3 linked regions of the Caenorhabditis elegans genome follow. The protein of the gene in region 3 interacts with the protein of the main gene of each other region in a biochemical or structural test. Each region holds a gene or a part of one and is shown on either strand. Other genes may lie near its edges. The genes, in order: flp-14, flp-8 and frpr-19.

Evidence for each region.
Region 1: the proteins of frpr-19 (region 3) and flp-14 interact in a test that uses a peptide from one of them, tested with the Caenorhabditis elegans proteins (one large-scale study listed by BioGRID).
Region 2: the proteins of frpr-19 (region 3) and flp-8 interact in a test that uses a peptide from one of them, tested with the Caenorhabditis elegans proteins (one large-scale study listed by BioGRID).

Annotation. Positions count from the first base shown.
Region 1 is NC_003281.10:12,908,598-12,915,431, reverse strand, and holds flp-14 (KHEYLRF-amide 4), read right to left. Parts: upstream 4,923-6,834; 5' UTR 4,921-4,922; coding exon 4,789-4,920; intron 3,839-4,788; coding exon 3,715-3,838; intron 1,999-3,714; coding exon 1,869-1,998; intron 738-1,868; coding exon 692-737; 3' UTR 502-691; downstream 1-501. Other genes in the region: Y37D8A.16 (MARVEL domain-containing protein), read left to right, coding at 4-135.
Region 2 is NC_003284.9:14,879,569-14,882,582, forward strand, and holds flp-8 (FMRF-Like Peptide), read left to right. Parts: upstream 1-1,850; 5' UTR 1,851-1,969; coding exon 1,970-2,092; intron 2,093-2,161; coding exon 2,162-2,295; intron 2,296-2,348; coding exon 2,349-2,499; downstream 2,500-3,014.
Region 3 is NC_003282.8:1,775,543-1,783,298, forward strand, and holds the start of frpr-19 (G-protein coupled receptors family 1 profile domain-containing protein), read right to left. Parts: upstream 6,021-7,756; coding exon 5,833-6,020; intron 5,261-5,832; coding exon 5,036-5,260; intron 4,906-5,035; coding exon 4,698-4,905; intron 4,033-4,697; coding exon 3,814-4,032; intron 3,451-3,813; coding exon 3,262-3,450; intron 916-3,261; coding exon 802-915; coding exon of another isoform or gene 781-801; exon of another isoform or gene 1-780.

The sequences.
Region 1 (6,834 bases), on a different chromosome or scaffold from region 3:
CAGGCAATGGCTGGACTCAACGTTGGATGCTTCCTCGGCATCGCTGCCATTTTCGTTGCAAATCTTGTCAACGATAAGATTCTACAGCGCTCGCAAAAGTTCAATAAATACGATCGTGGAGTTTACGTGCAGTAATTCGGCAGAAGTCTTGGGATTTTTTATTGCTCATTTTCATGTAAATTTCTAATACGATCTACTTATATTTATTCTTTTTTTTTTGTTCCATTTATCTCGAAGGGATCTTATAATTGCGTTTTTGTTCATTTTTTGGAATTATTGACAAAAATTCTAATAAAAAATTTACCGTACATTTTAAAAAATTCGAAGTGTTTTTTTTTCTGAGCATTCCAGCAAAACTTGTCAAAAAATCCAGATTCCCAGAAATTTCTACAAGACCCAGAAGTTTGCTTTCTTTAAATCGTTTTTAAAGTGGTTCATCGTGAACCTTGTTTAATGTCGGTTGCGCACTTATCTTCCTCTGACTTCTAGAAAATAACTCTTAACCAACGACAAGATTTATTACAATTTCTTCTTTCGACAATGCTGAGAGGGAGAGAGAAAAGAGATAGAGAGAAAAATATAGAAAAAAAAATCTTTCAAAAAAAAATGGTGTACTGTAGTTCCGTCTTTTTCTTCTTTTATTTGTATGGTTTTCAAAGATGTTTCTTCGATGATAGTAGATATTCCCTTCTTATTTGCGTCCGAAACGCAAGTATTCGTGCTTTCTCTTTCCGAATCTGAAAAAAATAGGGGAAATTTGATGGAACACAATTTCCTTTAGAGACATCGTGTGACATTTGATTTAGAAACAAACAAAAAGAACACCGAATTTGAGTCGAAAATTCAATTTTTGAAGTTTAATAGTGTTACGGAAAAGTGCGAAGATCAGAGCTTGTTCTCTCCGTTAAATTGTGCTCGAAAAATCACGGATTTCTGGCTTCCCTCATAAATTGAAATGGAAGAGTTTGCCAAACTAGGCCATTTTGGCTCGGTCATAGCTGGGGTAGATTTACGGCGCATTGCGTGTCGCGTCGCGGCTTGATTTTAGTTGTAAATCTAAATCACTTGTCCGTGTGGAGTACACGACTTTCCCACGCGTTGTCCGGCAGGCGATTGTCAATGGAGCGCGAAAAATGCAATGAGGAAGGCCTGAACCCCGTGAAAGTGGGAAAAAAAATTCGCGCATAAAATTCGATGCACAGACATCATATTTTACGCGCAAGTTTGTTACACGATTTTTCAGCCACAAATACAGGTCTCGACGCGACAAATTTTTCGTTAAATTCGAAAAGGTGTGCGACTTTGATTTTCATCGATTTTTCAAAGTTTTTCTATCATTTCCTCGAGAATTTGTCCGTATTATTTTTGTGTAAATAAATAATATTTTGCAGGACACTACAGTAATCTTTATAGGCTTTTGAATTCCTTCTGTATTAAAAAAAAACAAGCAAATTCGTGTAGAGACCTGAGAAGTATTACGGTGACGCAAAAATGACAATTTTTCGAAAAAAAAGTGCAATTGCGCTCCAAACGCTGCCATAATTTGGGTCTCGTTAAGAAAATTGGTTCCAAAAATTTCCTGGGTGTATTCATTTGTACGTTGGAGCGTATTTGCCCCCATCTAACAGTTGCAGCTTTTTGCGGCGCCATAATAACATCTGCCTACTACTGCCTGCCTATTGCCTGCTTATTGTCTTCCTACTCCCTGTCTGCCTACTGCCTGCCTACTGATTGCCTACTGCCTGTCTATTCCCTGCCTGCCTATTGCCTGCTTATTGTCTACCTACTCTCTGTCTGCCTACTGCCTGCCTACACCCTGCCTACTGTCTTCCTACTGCCTGCCTTACAACTAAAAAAAAATCACAAACCTCAAGTACTCGTGCTTCCTTTTTCCAAATCTGAGATACTCGTGCTTTCTCTTTCCGAATCGGAGGTATTCGTGCTTGCGCTTCTCCATGTCATTGTCTCCCTCGTTGGTCTCCTCCTCGAGAGCCAATCCTGCAACAACGTTTCCCATTGGGATCAGACCTCAAAGCAAGAGCACAACCATCATTAAGAATTTAAAAAGAATTTGGCGCTTTACATTTTAAAAGTCAGGGGCTTTTTCAAGAAAATGGCGGAACGTGATTGATAGTCTAGGCTTTCGGCTGGGTCACCGGAGGCTTATTTGATGCAGAGAAAATGAAGTTTGACTCATGCAGCTGGCAAATCGGATGTCTACTGTCTGCCTGCCTACTGCCTAGTTCCTGCCTACTGCCTAGTTTCTGCTTTCAGCCTACCTACTGCCTACCTACCAGGCCTGCCGGATTTTCTGCTTTTTTTTTTGAAATAATTTTGCTTTAAAAAAACCGAAAAATCGAAAAAACAAATTTCGGCGGCGCCCCTGTTTCCTACTTCTGCATACTGCCTGCTACTGCCTACTTACTGTCTGCCTACTGCCTGCTGCCTGCCTGCCTACTGCCAATTTTCGTTTTTCAGATTCCAATTTTACGGTATTTCCATTTTTCGGTTTTGCTAAGACAGAAAACCAAAAAAACTGGATAAGGCACCCCTGCTGCCTACTGCCTGTCTACTACCTGCCTACTGCCTACCTACTGCCTACCTACCAGGCCTGCCGGATTTTCGGTGTTTTTTAAAGAAAAAATTCGTTTTTCGGTTTTGCTAAAAAAAAACCAAAGGGAAAAAACTGGCAAAGGCACCCCTTCTGCCAACTGCTTGCCTACTGCTTGCCTACTGCCTACCTACAGCCTGCATACTACCTGCCTACTGCATGCCTACTGCCTACTGTCTACCTACTAGGCTTGCCGGTTTTCCTGTTTTCCGGTTTTGCTAAGACAGAAAACCAAATAAACTGGCATAGGCACCCCTGCTACCTACTGCCTGCCTACTGCCTGCCTACTGCCTGCCTGCTGCCAACTTTCGTTTTTCAGATTCCCATTTTACGGTTTTTCGATTTTTCGATTTTGCTATAAAACAACCAAAAAAAAACTGGCATAGGCACCCCTGCTGCCTACTGCCTGTCTACTGCCTGCTTACTGCCTACCTAGTATTTGCCTACTACCTGCCTACTGCATGCCTACTGCCTAGTTCCTGCCTTCAGCCTACCTACTGCCTACCTGGCCTGCCGGATTTTCTGTTTTTTTTTTTTTAATTTTCGTTTTTCGGTTTTGCTAAAAAAAAAACAGAAAAATCGAAAAAACAAATTTCGGCGGTGCCTCTGTTTCCTACTACCCGCCTACTGCCTTCCTACTGCCTGCCTGCTGCCTGCCGGATTTTCGGTTTATTTGAAAAAATTGTTGTTTTTCTGTTATGCTCAAAAAACCAAAAAAACCTGGCATAGGCACCTCTGCTGCCTACTGCCTGTCTACTGCCTGCCTACTATCTACCTACTATCTGCCTACTGCCTGCCTACTGCCAACTTTCGTTTTTCAGACTCCAATTTTACGGTATTCCGATTTTTCGGTTTTGCCCAAAAAAACCGAAAAACCTGGCAAAGGCACCCCTTCTGCCTACTGCCTGCCGACTGCCTACCTACTGCCTGCCTATTGCCTACCTACCAGGGCTGCCGGATCTTCGGTTTTTTTTTAAATTTTTTGTTTTTCTGTTATGCTCAAAAACAACCGAAAAATCGAAAAAAAAATTTTCGGCGGTGCCCCTGTTTCCTACTGCCTGCCTCTTGCCTGCCTACTGCCTACCTACTACCTGCCTACTTACCGTGAGTCTGAACGAGACGTTCAACTCCCTCCGAAACGAGAGCTCCGAGCTGAGCAAGAAGCATGCTGCTCTCGCTTAATTGGCACAAAAGCGCCTCTTGTTGATCGCCGTTGTTGGCCAGAATCTGGAAAATGTGTTTTTTTACAGTAGTACGTTTTTCAAACCCAGTGATTATTCCGGAACAAAATCCTTGGGAAAAGCACGAAAATTACATGGTTTCAAAAAAAAAACCAACCGGAAGCCTTGTAATTATAGGTTCAGATTTTTGTCGAGGACTACGGTGAGATGAAGCCCGTATTTGACAGCTCATATCTCGGCTATCTTTAGCTTTATCAAAAAGTTGTTAACTAGAAAAATATAGGTTTTTTCTTTTTCTGCAACTTTATAGTTTAAAAAATTTTGCTATCTATAAAATGAACCGAGTTATGATCTACCAAAGTGGAGTTCTAAAAAAACTTTGATCTACTACTTTCCAACCCCACAAAAAAACACATTCAAATCAAACAGAGAATAGTATGATCAGGTTAGAATCATCTAGATTAACTATGAAAAAGAAAATAGATTTTTTTTCTATTCATCGCAAGTTGTTTAATCTTTATTGTGCATCCAATCCTCCCCCGAAAAATGAGCAGAAATTGTGATCTTATTAAGTTTACTACAACCGAAACGTCATGAGGATCAAAAGAATATCATATTTATCAAATTTTTTGTCCAGAAAATGTGACGGCAGCACGTTCTTAACCATGCGAAATCAGTTAAGAAGTCTGCGTCTAAGTTCCCGCGATTCTCGTAGATCTGCGTAGATCAAACCAATACACAGTAGTCATTAGTTTTCGCTGCGTGATATTTTGCGCGTCAAATATGTTGCGCAGTACGCATTCTCAGAATTTTGAGAACCATGGGATGTATGACGTCACGCAGGCCCTAACTTAGTTTTCGAAAAACTTTTCCAAAATGCACTAAACTATCTCATTATAACTTCCACTTGCAGTTTTGAAAAAAAAAACTTTTTTAAACCCAATTATAAACATGACTTTAAACTTCTTAGAACAAAATGGTTTTTTTTTGACTCACCGCTTGACAATCCTTCGGATTGTGTGGAGCCTGTGCGGCTCCAGAAGCTCCGGCTCCAGCCGGTGCCTCCTGGCCACTGGCGGCCACGACGAACGCGGAGAGCAGAAGCGCGGTGGGCAGGCAGATCATCATATGAAGAGAGCTCTCAGTTGGAGCCAGAGGAGACTTCAAAATGGGCGGAGCTCGGTGTTGAAAGTGAAATGTTGTGGGCGTGGCTTGGTAGAGCTCGAGGAGAAGAAAAAAAAATGAAACAAAATTCAAGAGTACGGTAGCACTAAAAATTTTACGAAAAAAAAAACAAATACTAATTAGCCGAGGGGATGGGGTCCCCGGATTAGCAGGATTTCGCTAAAATTTTCCGGGAAAATTGGAAAAGAGAAAACACCTCAAACATCTGAGAATCTGCCCCGGAAGTAATAAAAAATAAAAAAAACCAAAAAAAATGTATCGGAGGTTCCGTAAGGAGGCCCAGGGGCATATTGAGTTAAGTGACAGAGGAGGTCAATGTTTGAACAGAGCAGATGTATTGATAGGTCAGGCTAGGCAAGTCTAGGAGTCTAGTGAAGAGTAGGCAAGGCTAGGTGAGCCTAGGCTAGGTGAGGCTAGGCTAGGCTAGGCTAGGACAGACTAGGTTAGGTTAGGCTAGACTCGGTAAGAATAGGACAAATTAAGCTAGGCCAGGTTAGGCAGGCGATGGATAAGTTAGGTAAGGCTAGGCCAGGCTAGGCTAAGCTAGGCAGGGATAGGTGAGGGTAGGCTTGGCTAGGCTTGACTAGGTTTGGCTAGGCTTGGCTAGGCTTGGCAAGACTGGGAAGTTAGATTAAGCTAGGCCCGGCTAGGTAGACATAGGATAAGATAGGTAAGATAAGGTTGGACTAGGTTAGTTAAGGGTATACTAAGCTAGGCTAGGCTAGGCTAGGTGAGGCTAGACTAGGTAGGCGTAGGATACGTTATGTAAGGTTGGCTAGGCTAGGCAAGACTGGGATTCTAGGCAAGGTTAGCCAAGCTGGGAGTCTAGGCTAAAATATGCTTGGCTAGGCTGGGCTAGGCCAGCCTAGACCAGCCTAGACCAGCCTAGGCTTTGCTCAAACTATTCCCAAATTAAACGTTCAGAACAAAAAAGGAAGTATAGAACCATCGCTTAATGTTGTTTTCGTGCAATTCTCCACGTGGTGCTCCGTTTTTTTTTCTTCTAAAATTTGTGTGTGCTCGTTAAGTGTTTTCTTTTCTTTTTTCACTCGAAAGAGGCTGCTCTAATTGGTCTGACTTTGTGAAAAATTGTAACTTCCAGAACAAAATAACACATTTGTCTTTTTTTGAATTGCCGCATAGTGACATAACTTGGGTCTCGTTAGGTTTTTGGCGACAAAATCGTAAATTCAAACTTTTTTATATCTCCTGATTTCGTTAATTTTTCTAATTTTTTCAGTGTGTTTTAATGTTTTTTGTGACGAAAAAAATCAAAAAATCAAAAAATCGAAAAAAATCATTAAAAATAACGAATAATAGCTAAAACGACCAAATTCCTAATGAGACCCATTTTATGAAGACGGAGCGTTCCGAGAGAGTTGGGAACATCGGCCATGACCGCGACGGAGCTTCAAAAAATTTGCGGAAATGATGCACAGGCTTCTAGCCTTCCTCATCGATTTTTTCGCGCTCCATTGACAATCGGCCGCCGGGAAAGTCGTGTGAACTCCACACGGACATTTAGTTTTACAATCGAGCCGCGACGCGACACGCAACGCGCCGTAAATCTACCCCAGATATGGCCGAGCCAAAATGGCCTAGTTCGGCAAACTCTTCCATTTCAATTTATGAGGGAAGCCAGAAATCCGTGGCCTTGGCCGCGGCCTAGGTTCTCAGTAAACTCTGCCATTTCAAGATATGAGGGACTCTGAAAGCCCGTGAAGAAGGGCCAATTTTAGGTAGTAAATAGGCTTCTTAAGCCCACGCATTCTTCAAGAAAAGTCGTCAACAACATCAGGTCAGTTTCCCTCGGGCTTTTTGTACTTTCTTAACCTATTTATCTGCCTTTTTCTTGTT
Region 2 (3,014 bases), on a different chromosome or scaffold from region 3:
CGTTCGTCACTATTTTTGTGTGTATGTGTTTTGGATTCCTCTTCTCACATTTGCGGTCACAACAGTATCGTTCATCGGTTTTTATGTTGTGATAAAATAGAGAAAAAGTAAAACGAGCATATTTTTGATAGCGGAAGAAAAATTTTGAGATTACATATAACAAAGCGGAAAGTGATTATCAAATGTCAAATTATCAAATAATTTGGAAGCTTTTCAATTCAATATACAGGGTTGATTTTCAATAGGTGGTGCAAGTAAAAAAGAAATACTGTATTTATATTTAAAGATAAATACATTTTGTTTAAACACGTAAATATTGTTTCAAGCTGGCCGCATATCAAAATAAAACCGTACAAAAACTTTCCAGTTTTTCTTAATTTTCAGTCAAGGTTTTAGTAAAATAGCGAGGCGACGAAAATATATAACTTTCCGAGAAGTTCAGAGCAGTTAATAATTATTATCAACTTTTTACAGAATGGTTTACATTTTTTCAACATTAATTATAGTTAAAGGACAATACATTTTTCAAAATATTCACTGTAAATATGAATGAATACTTTTGGAAAATAATCAAAAAGCTGACTGACTACTGTTAAACAATGGCGGAGTGATAAACTAGCAAATTCACTTATTATGCACATAATTATAATGCAGGATAAGATGACTGACTTTCAAGACATTCACTATTTAATGATTAGACTTCCATTTTTGACCATCCCATTTTGACATAAGAACTCCTTGATATTTTGTTCTCTTTGAAAAGTCTTGTTTTACTCTACTTTAAATGAATTCATTTTCGTCATGGACGATCTCTTCAAAAAGTATGTGGGCACCTTTACTTTGAATACACGCAATCTTCACCGTAGTTTCATGTTGCTCGAATGAATATTCAATGATTGGAGGGCAAGATTTATGAAGAGATTGCCGTGAAATCATTTTGCGAGGCGAATCATCGAGGAAGCAACTGATTCGTGATGAATAATTTGCGCGGTGGATAAGTTTTTGGTTTCAAAGTACCCCCCCCCCCCCCCCCCGAGAAGAGGTGGAAAAAAGTTGAAGAATTAGATGAAGGAGAAGTCCAAGTGTTACGTCAACAATTTACAAATGCATAGAGTTGGTATAATTAGTTTCGGAGGGTGTCGGTGGCTAAATTTATCTGTTAGTTACCTCCCAGCATGAATTCCGTGTATTCACTGTGTTCAGTCCCTCGACTGCTCGGTTATACAGCTGATAGATAGACGAGGAAGAAGAAAACACACAAAAACGTAAAGTGGGCCTCTTTAAAAAAATTTAAAAAACAAAATAAGGACACAAAAATATAAATATGCATTGTTTTCATTTTTCAAAACGAGGGTAGCTTCGAGAAATTTCCATTTTCAAATCAAACGAATTGCTACAACAATGTCAAAATGTTAAAATTTTTCTTGGTGGTACTGTATGACTCTAAAGTTTGATCTGGAAAAATTTGTTTTTTCGTAGATAACGTTTCTTACCTAAAAAGCGGTTTTTAACCTGATAGTTGAGATAACCTGGTTTATACAATAAATTTTCAAATGAGATAATTTTTAATAACTTTAAAAAAAAATTTTTTTATATCGTTGGTTTTCGAAACTTGATTTTCAGCAAATTTTTAAAATTTGAATCAACTTGCTCTCAAAGACACGTTTATTGTCTTACGACTTTTAAAACCGGAGTAAATTTAATTTTTCGATGAATCAATTTCAGATAAATCTCAGAACAAGCACTTTACTGTTTCTTACTTGTTTTATGCAATTTACCATTTCAAGTTTTCTATGCCCCCGCGTTCTTTTACCAAACGCCTTCCAGTGGACACTCTAGAATTTCTTCAGCACAAGAAGGCGTGGCCTCTGAAAAGGCGGAGCAAAGTGCGCGGAGCCCAAGTTAGTGGAGAAGACGGACCAGTATATAAGCCACGAGCAGTGCTCAGTCCACACTTTTCAAGTAGAAAATGCTCTCCGGAGTCCTTTTTTCTATTTTTGTACTCGCCATATCGGCCAACGCTAGCTGTGATGTGTCCGCACTGACCACCGAGAATGAGAAGGAACTCGGACTCCGGATTTGCCATCTTGAGGTATGTTGATCATTTTTTTTAGTTTCCAAAGTGGTTTTTTATTCCTGTAAAATCTAAAATGTTTTGCAGGCGGAGATGCAAGTCGTCCAAAGAGCCTTGCAGGAGGTGATGCAGCAGACAGATGTCACACTGTACGATCAAGAAGTTCCGGTGATGAACAAGCGTAAAAACGAGTTTATCCGATTTGGAAAACGCAGTGACGGGTTAGTACATATTTGGTATTTGTCGGTCATTTCAAATATCATTTCTTTCTCAGAATGGAAAAACGAAAGAACGAGTTCATCCGGTTTGGAAAGAGAAAAAATGAGTTCATCCGATTCGGAAGATCCGATAAGGGACTTGGACTCGACGACAACGACGTTTCCAGTGAGTTTTTCGGTTACACCTCTGATGTATTTTATCTGTAAGTGGTTTTGCAGTGGAGAAACGAAAGAACGAATTCATTCGATTCGGGTGATTCGCGTTCAGAGATGGATGTGTGCTTCTTGATGATTTGGGCCAAATTGTGTTCTATACTGATAATGTTTTGTTAGATTTCTTATTCTCCATGCTAATTTTTTTTCTTTTATCTCTGCAAAACGTCAGTTAGAATAAACTTTCATTGTTTTTCTGGTTTTTTTTTCTTTTTTTTTCCATCTTATCTCAATTTTCACAAGACTTGGATATTCACAGGCTTGATGTATGAATTGCATAATATGTCCCAGCCGAATGACCAAATCCGTTTTTTTTCTTTGTATGACCACTCATCGTATTCAAATTTGCTTACAAGTACGCATGATCCCCCTGCGGGCGCGCGCATCAAACAGACGTAAGACCGGTTTTCGAGGAAAAACTGTGTATATCTTTCTATCCGAAATCCTGTGTCATTGAAATATTTCACAATTTGGATACAATTTTCTCGGCCCAAACATGTTGTATAGTC
Region 3 (7,756 bases):
TGAAATTTTTTTTCACATTGAAATTGAAATTTTTATCAGATCTCCACATTCAAATAGATTTTGACCTATTTTTCAAATGATTTTCAGACAAAAAATAAAAAAAAATTCTGTTGAAAGTTTTGAAAATTGCCTGAAAACTTTTAAAAAAATACAAAAAAAAATACAAAATTTGGAATGTCAAGTTTTTAAACGATTTTTTTTCCAAATTATTCAAACTCACGTGAAGTCAGAACAGTCTCATTTCGCTTTGATCTTTGAAAAATGCGGCAGAAGAGACGCAGACATCTCATCATGATTGCACATGGTTAAGCTGACGTCACAATTGTTCTGGGGTCACAATTCTTCTGGAAAAATATTCCCGCATTTTTCGTAGATCAAATCGCAATGAGACAGATTTTTCCGATTTTCTATAATTATTTTACTATGAAATCAGGAACTTTAACAAAAACCAAAATTCTATAATTTTCAGTTTGATCTTATTAAAATTATACTTTAAATACAAAAAAGTTCTTTGAAAATTACAGAAAAAAACCGAATTTTAAAATATTTTTAATTTGAAAAAAATTATCGATTTCTGTGAAATTCCAAAAAAAAAAAAACTAATTTTTGTAAGTTTGAGCAAAAATTTGCAAAATTTAACTTTCCCAAAAATTTCAAAGCAATACCAATACCCCAACTAAATGGATAGAAGAAAGAAAATTATTACAAAAACAGAACATTTGGGGGAAAAACACAAAAGCAACCGGTTGGGGAAAGAAAAAAAAATAAAACGGAAAATGACTAATTGAGTACGGAACTAACGAGTAGCTCTCCCTGTCGGGACCAATCACAGAACAGATAGTAGCGGAGAAGCATTCGGTATTTGCCAGAGAACAGCATGTAGACACAGATGTTGCATGAAGCATTGATGATCACCTGGAATAAATCAATAATACTGATTTTCATGCGCTGACGAAAAATACAAAAATGTATTTTTATACAGTTTTCCCCCTATTCATGTGTGCAGAAACATTTAAAAAAACGCATGCATTTTTTGCATTTTCCGACATTTTTCTACATCGGTTATGGCACGTGGTCGCTGGCTGTCCTTTTGCATAAGTTTGAAGCAAACGCGCCTCATTGAGAATTCACGTTGGCGCCAACTCTCGCTATCCATTGGGCGTGAGAGACGCAGATACAGTGCGTACAAGTTCTATACGCCACCCCCTAAATTTATGCCTGTGGCCACGTCTGTGCTTTCAAAAAAATTTCTGTTGATGCCATTCGATTCCAAATCTTAAAAAACCTATAGGCCCAAATTTTCATGACCTTACCTCAATAATTAAAAAAATTAGGTCAATAAATCGAAAAATTGGCCGTACAACTTCTATACGCCACCCTCGATTTTTTGATGATTTTTCAAAAATTTACAATTTTTGAGAAGAAGTTGAACAGCACATTAATAAATTTGAGTGAATTTCGGTGCACAGTAGCTTTTCCTACAACCATAGAACAATTTTGTCCCAATTCGTAGATCCATGGAGTGCCAATGGCACCAGAGGGCCTGAAACGTGGATTTCTGCTCCCACGTGAGATATAACCTCAAAAGTTTGAGGATATGTTCTAGATACTATTCAAACATTTCATGCAAATTTTGGCATAAATTGGACTGTTCCTCGTCTCGATAGAAACACATTCATGTAAGGTCTAGCCACTTTTTGGCTACTGGAATGCTTAGAGGCCGAAATCACGGCGCCCGTGCCTTTTAGAGAGATTGAAGCATAAAAAATATTGAGATTACCACAATTAAATCACTATTTTTATTCATATGTTCGTCATCTCACCTCTTATCCGAAGAAAATGCGGAGCATCAAAAATTTGTGTGTTTTCAGTGCATTTCTACTGTGGTTTCAAGTTAAAACTTTTCTAAATCGCTAGAGCGCTTGATGATAGTAACCTTGATTGTTGCGTTCAAGAACAATACTACGAAATCTGCTGTAGCTCAATCGCAAAAATGCATCCCCACTGGATTCATGTGCACCGTGATTTCGGCCTCTAAGCATGCCAGTAGCCAAAAAGTGGCTAGACCTTACTGAAATGTTTTAATATCAGCACGAAGAACCGCCCAAATCAGACCAAAATTTACCTGAGATGTTGGAATAGTGTCTAGAACATATCCCCACACTTTCGAGGTTATATCTCACGTGGGAGCCATAATCCACGTTACAGGCTCTTTGGCGCTCCACAGTAAATCGGGTTGGGACAAAAATGTTTTGTGGTCGTAGGAAAAGTTACTCTTTGCTGATATTCAATCAAATTTATAAATATTCTCTTCAACTACCTCTTTAAAATCAAAAGTTTTGAAAAAATCGTCAAAAAATTGAGGGTGGCGTATAGAAGTTGTACGGCCAATTTTTCGGTTTATTGACCTAATTTATTTAGTTTTTGAGGTACGGTCATGAAAATTCAGGCTCATAGGTTTTTTAGGATTTGGAATCAAATGGCATCAGCAGAATTCTTCTAAAAAATTCAGACGTGCCCACATGCATAAATTTAGGGGGTGGCGTATAGAACTTGTACGCACTGTACTACTTTTTTCTCTGGACGTGAAAAACGCAAAGAACCGTTTTGCCGTCTGCATCTCTTCTTTCACACGCTATTTTGGCTGTGGACGAGGAATTCTCCTCTTCCAGGATTTCTAGGCCATTTTCTCACATTTCTCAAGTTTTCTCGTCCGCGAGAAAACGTGAATTTTGAGACAGCCAGCGAGCACGTGTTATGGGGTTATTCATGTGATGACAAAAAATGCAAAAATGTATTTTTATGTGGACCGATCTAGAAAAATGTCGAAAAATTAGAAAAATGCATTTTTGCTTTTTTTTTGTCATCACATGAATAACCAACCCCATTAGGTTATTAATAAATTTAGAAAAAAAATTAAAAACAATTTCAGATTAATCTAATGAAAATCTAATAATTAGTGGCTGGTTTTGGTGGAATTTTATTGTATTCGTGTGTGAAACGTCAATCGAAAAAAAAAAATTAACTGAGCAATTTTTGATTAATAATTGATTAATAATAAATATTCGCAAAAAAAAACAATTTTTTTTCTCGAAAAATGGCTAGCACAAGTTTTTAAACTAGAAATAAAAATTATCACCGACAAGTTGCAAAATGTGCATTGCAGCTGGAAGTCATATTCAGTCTTTGCACTTTCAAATGAAATATGACTCGATCAAAAGTCGGCTGGAGCCTTCACAACCTTCTTTAGTCAGAACTCACCAATAAATTGTTAAAAGTGACAAGAGTTTGATAGATTGCTCCCTCAGTGCCCATGTTCTCCATAATATTGCAAACGAATGCAAGAGTGTTACAGGCGATGAACAGGAGCACGATTGAGATGAGCATAATAGAAGTTTGTCGCTCCTTTCGTTCGGCTTTCTTCGAGAACTCCTCACTTTCGGCGCCACACTAAAGTTAGAAACAATTGGATTTTGTATTGTAGATCTTTTTTTTTTCTAAAATACTTTTTTCTCACACTGTTTCGAATCTTGGCTGCAATTTTCAAAATGGGGCTCAAATTTTGTATACATAAGTGCGTAACATCTGTACTCGTGCCGTGATAATTATAGAACCAGCACAGTATCGCACAGTATCGCTATCTTGAAATTAACTCTCATTGCTTATAATTGGAGCTTAAAAAACAAAATACAAATTAAAGACGCTATTTTATAAACTAATGCATTTCTATCGATTACAATTAGTATATATGGTGGTAGTAGTATCGACCTTGCTTTGAGATCTAATCAACCCACAAAACATAAAGTCCCATACCTGCGAAACCATATGCATCCGCCTCGACCGTCTCACCGCCGACAGCACCATCGAGTTGAGCGCGATCAGCAGTGTGAACGGCACCACATACATCACAATGGTGTACGCCCATCCGAAGAATATTTGCCTATACAGATCGTTCATTCGAAGAGCGGTCGGCTGAAGTGATGGCATGTAGTAGTCGATGTTTTCTCGGTAGCACACGTTGGAAATGTGGACCTGAAACAGAAAGTGGGGTTGGTTTCGTACTGTTTCAAGGGATTCAATTAGGCGGCAGTTACAGGACAGATGTAAGCCGAAATGACCTCTGCTCAGACTAAGAAGTCTGTCTACATCAGGGGTGTGTGGCTTGATACTGATACTTTTTGATATTTTTTGGAGCACCAAAACTACTAAATTCCGATAAACATCTGGTTTCCGAATAAGTTCCGTGTATTATGTCTGCTTAAGCATCAAAATGACTCAATGTTATACCGTTTTACTGAATTTTTTGCGACAAAATGAGTAGTTTTAGTCAGATTTGTACCGTCAAATTTGTACGGCAAATTTGGCAAATTTGCCGCGCACACCTCTGGTCTAAATCTAGTCTGTCCTAATTACTTCGACAATCGTTCAGGGTTCTATGATTAGTGAGAGCCGGTCTAAAAAAGAGCTTATTTGGACGTCACTGGGCATATTAATGGTCTTATAGGCCCACGACATCGTCCCAAATAATCAGGTGTATAACTCTTACTCAGTCCAAACCACACAATCGCCAGTATGTACTAGGCAGGTGCTCATATTTATTAAAGGTCATTTTTGAAACAAGGCAGCCAATAGTTTGAAAATTTATGCTCTTGGTTTCACACTCCCCTAGTCACCCAACCTATTACAAAAACGCTCACCTCAAAGAACCGAGTCGTGTTGAAAATCACGGAGAACGTGAGTAGACCAATGATGAAAGTGGTGACCCGTTTCTTGGGCAGCCACTCGACCGATTTGTACGGATGACAGACGCCGATGTAGCGATGAACGGAGACACCGACCGTCATGAAGACACTGCACGTCTGGGCGGTCATCATTAGACCGTACATGCACGGAGTCACCGAATAGCTGGAATAAGGGACCATTTTCAGTGTCCATGTCCAGTAATTTGCCTGTCCTATGACTGATTAAAGACGAATTTCCAGAACTTTTGCCAGGTGGCCTTATTCTAAAAACTATGCAGTTCAAAAATAGTTACCTGATATAATTCGCCCGCCACCAGGTGAGATATTCTCCGAAACGCGGCAACGAGAGCACAAAAAACGCGGAGAAGAGAATCAACGTGTCAGACGCGGAGAGTACGGCAAGATACCAGTTGATTGAGGATCCCGACATGATACGGTGTGTAAAGATGCGCATTGATGTGACGTTTGCCAGAATGCCGAACATGATTACTGGAACTGCGACGAGGCCAAGAAATACTCTGGAAAAATGTAGTTGAGTGTGTGGGCGAGGTGGATTTCGACTTGAACTTCGAGACAGGTCCTCGGCCACCGTTAATTCTACCGATAATTCAAAAATTCAAAAACTAGTAAATTGAAAAAATGAACGATATTTGTTCTATAGTTTTCTAGTTAAAATATTTGCAATGGCTTGAAATCAGCCGAGATATAAGCGGCCAAAGTCACGCAATGTAGTTTTCGATGCACCATGTGCAAGCCTGGTCTTGCACCTCATTTCTCAGTTGTCCTTGGGTTTATCCAAAAGTTGTCAACTAACAAAGTATTTATTTTTCTTTTTTCTACATTTGTGTAGTTTGCCAACTTTTGGTATCTTTAAAACCAAGCGAGATATGAGCGGTTGAAGTCAAAAAGTGGAACTTTCTCGATCGATGCACCATGAGCATCTCATATCTATGGTTTCTGTTCAAAAAATTTTATTAAAAAAAGCATTTCCCATTGTTATTTCTATGTTTTACTGCAATTGTTTTTTTTTGTTGATATTATCACACCCAACCGAAATATGAACCTTTAAAGTACAGTATCCCCGGCTCACCTCTCCAAACCTTCATAACTTGAGTAGTCCGTATGACATGCACAAGAAATGTTGAGTGGTGTACACATATCCTCCTCCTCAAACAACGGCACCTCTGTTGAGCCAATCATCAAATCAGGTGACTTGATCAAACCAAGTACGGAAACGAGCGGCGACGGGTCGCCAGTGAAATTAGCGTCCGTCGTCATTCTTGCGGCGGTGATGGGTAGCGTGGCCGAACTGGCGGGAACCGTTGATTGTAGCGCTCCTCGGTGATGAACAGGACACCGACAAGTCGGCCTGAAAAGAGGTAAAGAAATATTAAGAAAATATGAAACAAGAGGGGAGTGACAGGGGGCTTGCAGGTGGAAAATATGAAATTTAGAGGCAAAAATAGAAACAGAAGGGGGAGGGGGGGGGGAAGGTGCAATGCATTTTTGATGGAAAAGGTGACGGAAGGGCAAAGTGAGAGAGTGTGGCAGAGATTAATAATTTGATTTCAGAGGTTTTAAGGGATCAGGGCAGAACTTTTCACAAAGTCCAAACTCTCAAAAGTCTTCCAAATTCAGGTCCGGCCAGCTTCTCGTCCAGGAGCTGCCGGGCGAAGGAGGGCGAGTTGTTCCTCGACGCCTCGACCAGGGAGGCAAATTTGCCGAATTTGTCGTTTGCTGTGCTCGGCAAATTTCAAAAATGTGGATTTGCCGAATTTGCCGAGCTCGGCAAATTTTGAAATTGGCTGCACTCATTAAAAATGTTTCATTAAAATTTTGCTCAAAACTAATGGTTTCGATCAGAAACTTAATGAAAGAAAACATAGCAGCGTGTTTCTTTCATTTTTTATTCAAAAAATCCACATGCGCATTAGGAAAAAATCGAACTATACCAGTGAACTTAATATTTTCAATTATTTTTTGGCATTTTTAAGCTCCAAGAAATATTGTGATTTACCGAATTTGCCGAGCCCGGCAAATTTCAAAATTTGCCGCACATCCCTGGCCACGTAAAATGTCTAGCCATAAAAATATAGTCAAAAAAAATTTGGAAAAGTTTTTCTGAAGACAAATTTTTTAGAACTTAGCAAATCAAATGCAGTTGAATATCTTTTTTTCAATTGACCCAAATTTGTTTCCAGTAAAATGCTCAACTTTACTAAAACTACAAATTCAAGCTCACAAAATCACAGTGATCCTTCAAGATTTTTTCATCTAAAAAAACTAAAAGAAAATAGTAGTTTAACACGTTTGTATAACACGTTTGGTAATTTAATTTTCCAGTAACTACCGTGGGAGGAGGAGAAAAAGCGCAATACGAAAATTCACCTGGCTAACGTCATACACTGATTTCAGCGGGAAAAGTTCATGTGGCACGTGGCATTTTGGTAAAGTGTGATTGTTAAACTTTGAGAGCTTATACGTTACAGTTATGTAAAATAAAGGTAGAAAGTTTTTTCTATTACTGAATAAACGTGTTGGAAAGACTTTCAAGCCGTTAGACTTAAACCGACAACACACTTTTTGCTCACTTCCAAGGTTCATTATTGACTCATCATTCATGTTTTTAATAAGTAACGTAACTTATGAATGTTTAGTGAAGAAATGTTACAAGTGAGAAAAAAGTGTTGTCAAAATCACACTTCAAAAAAATCAATTGAACAGAGATTAAAGTTCTATAGGTCTGATACCTATATTTGTATAATTGCGTGAGAGTGTCTATGAGTAAGAAAAAGAGAGCCAAAAAAAGAAATTTCGAGATGAATCTCCTACCCGCCTGATATGCTTTAATCACTACAGAGACGCAGAGCAACGGAAATATTGACGAACACACATGTGTGTCGTCCTTGTCTACTGCTTCATCTTCATCCTCATCTTCTTCTTCACACAGGCTTATATGGCGGTGGTGGTGGTGGTGGAAGCGGAAAATAATGACGTAACGAATGACCGAGCAT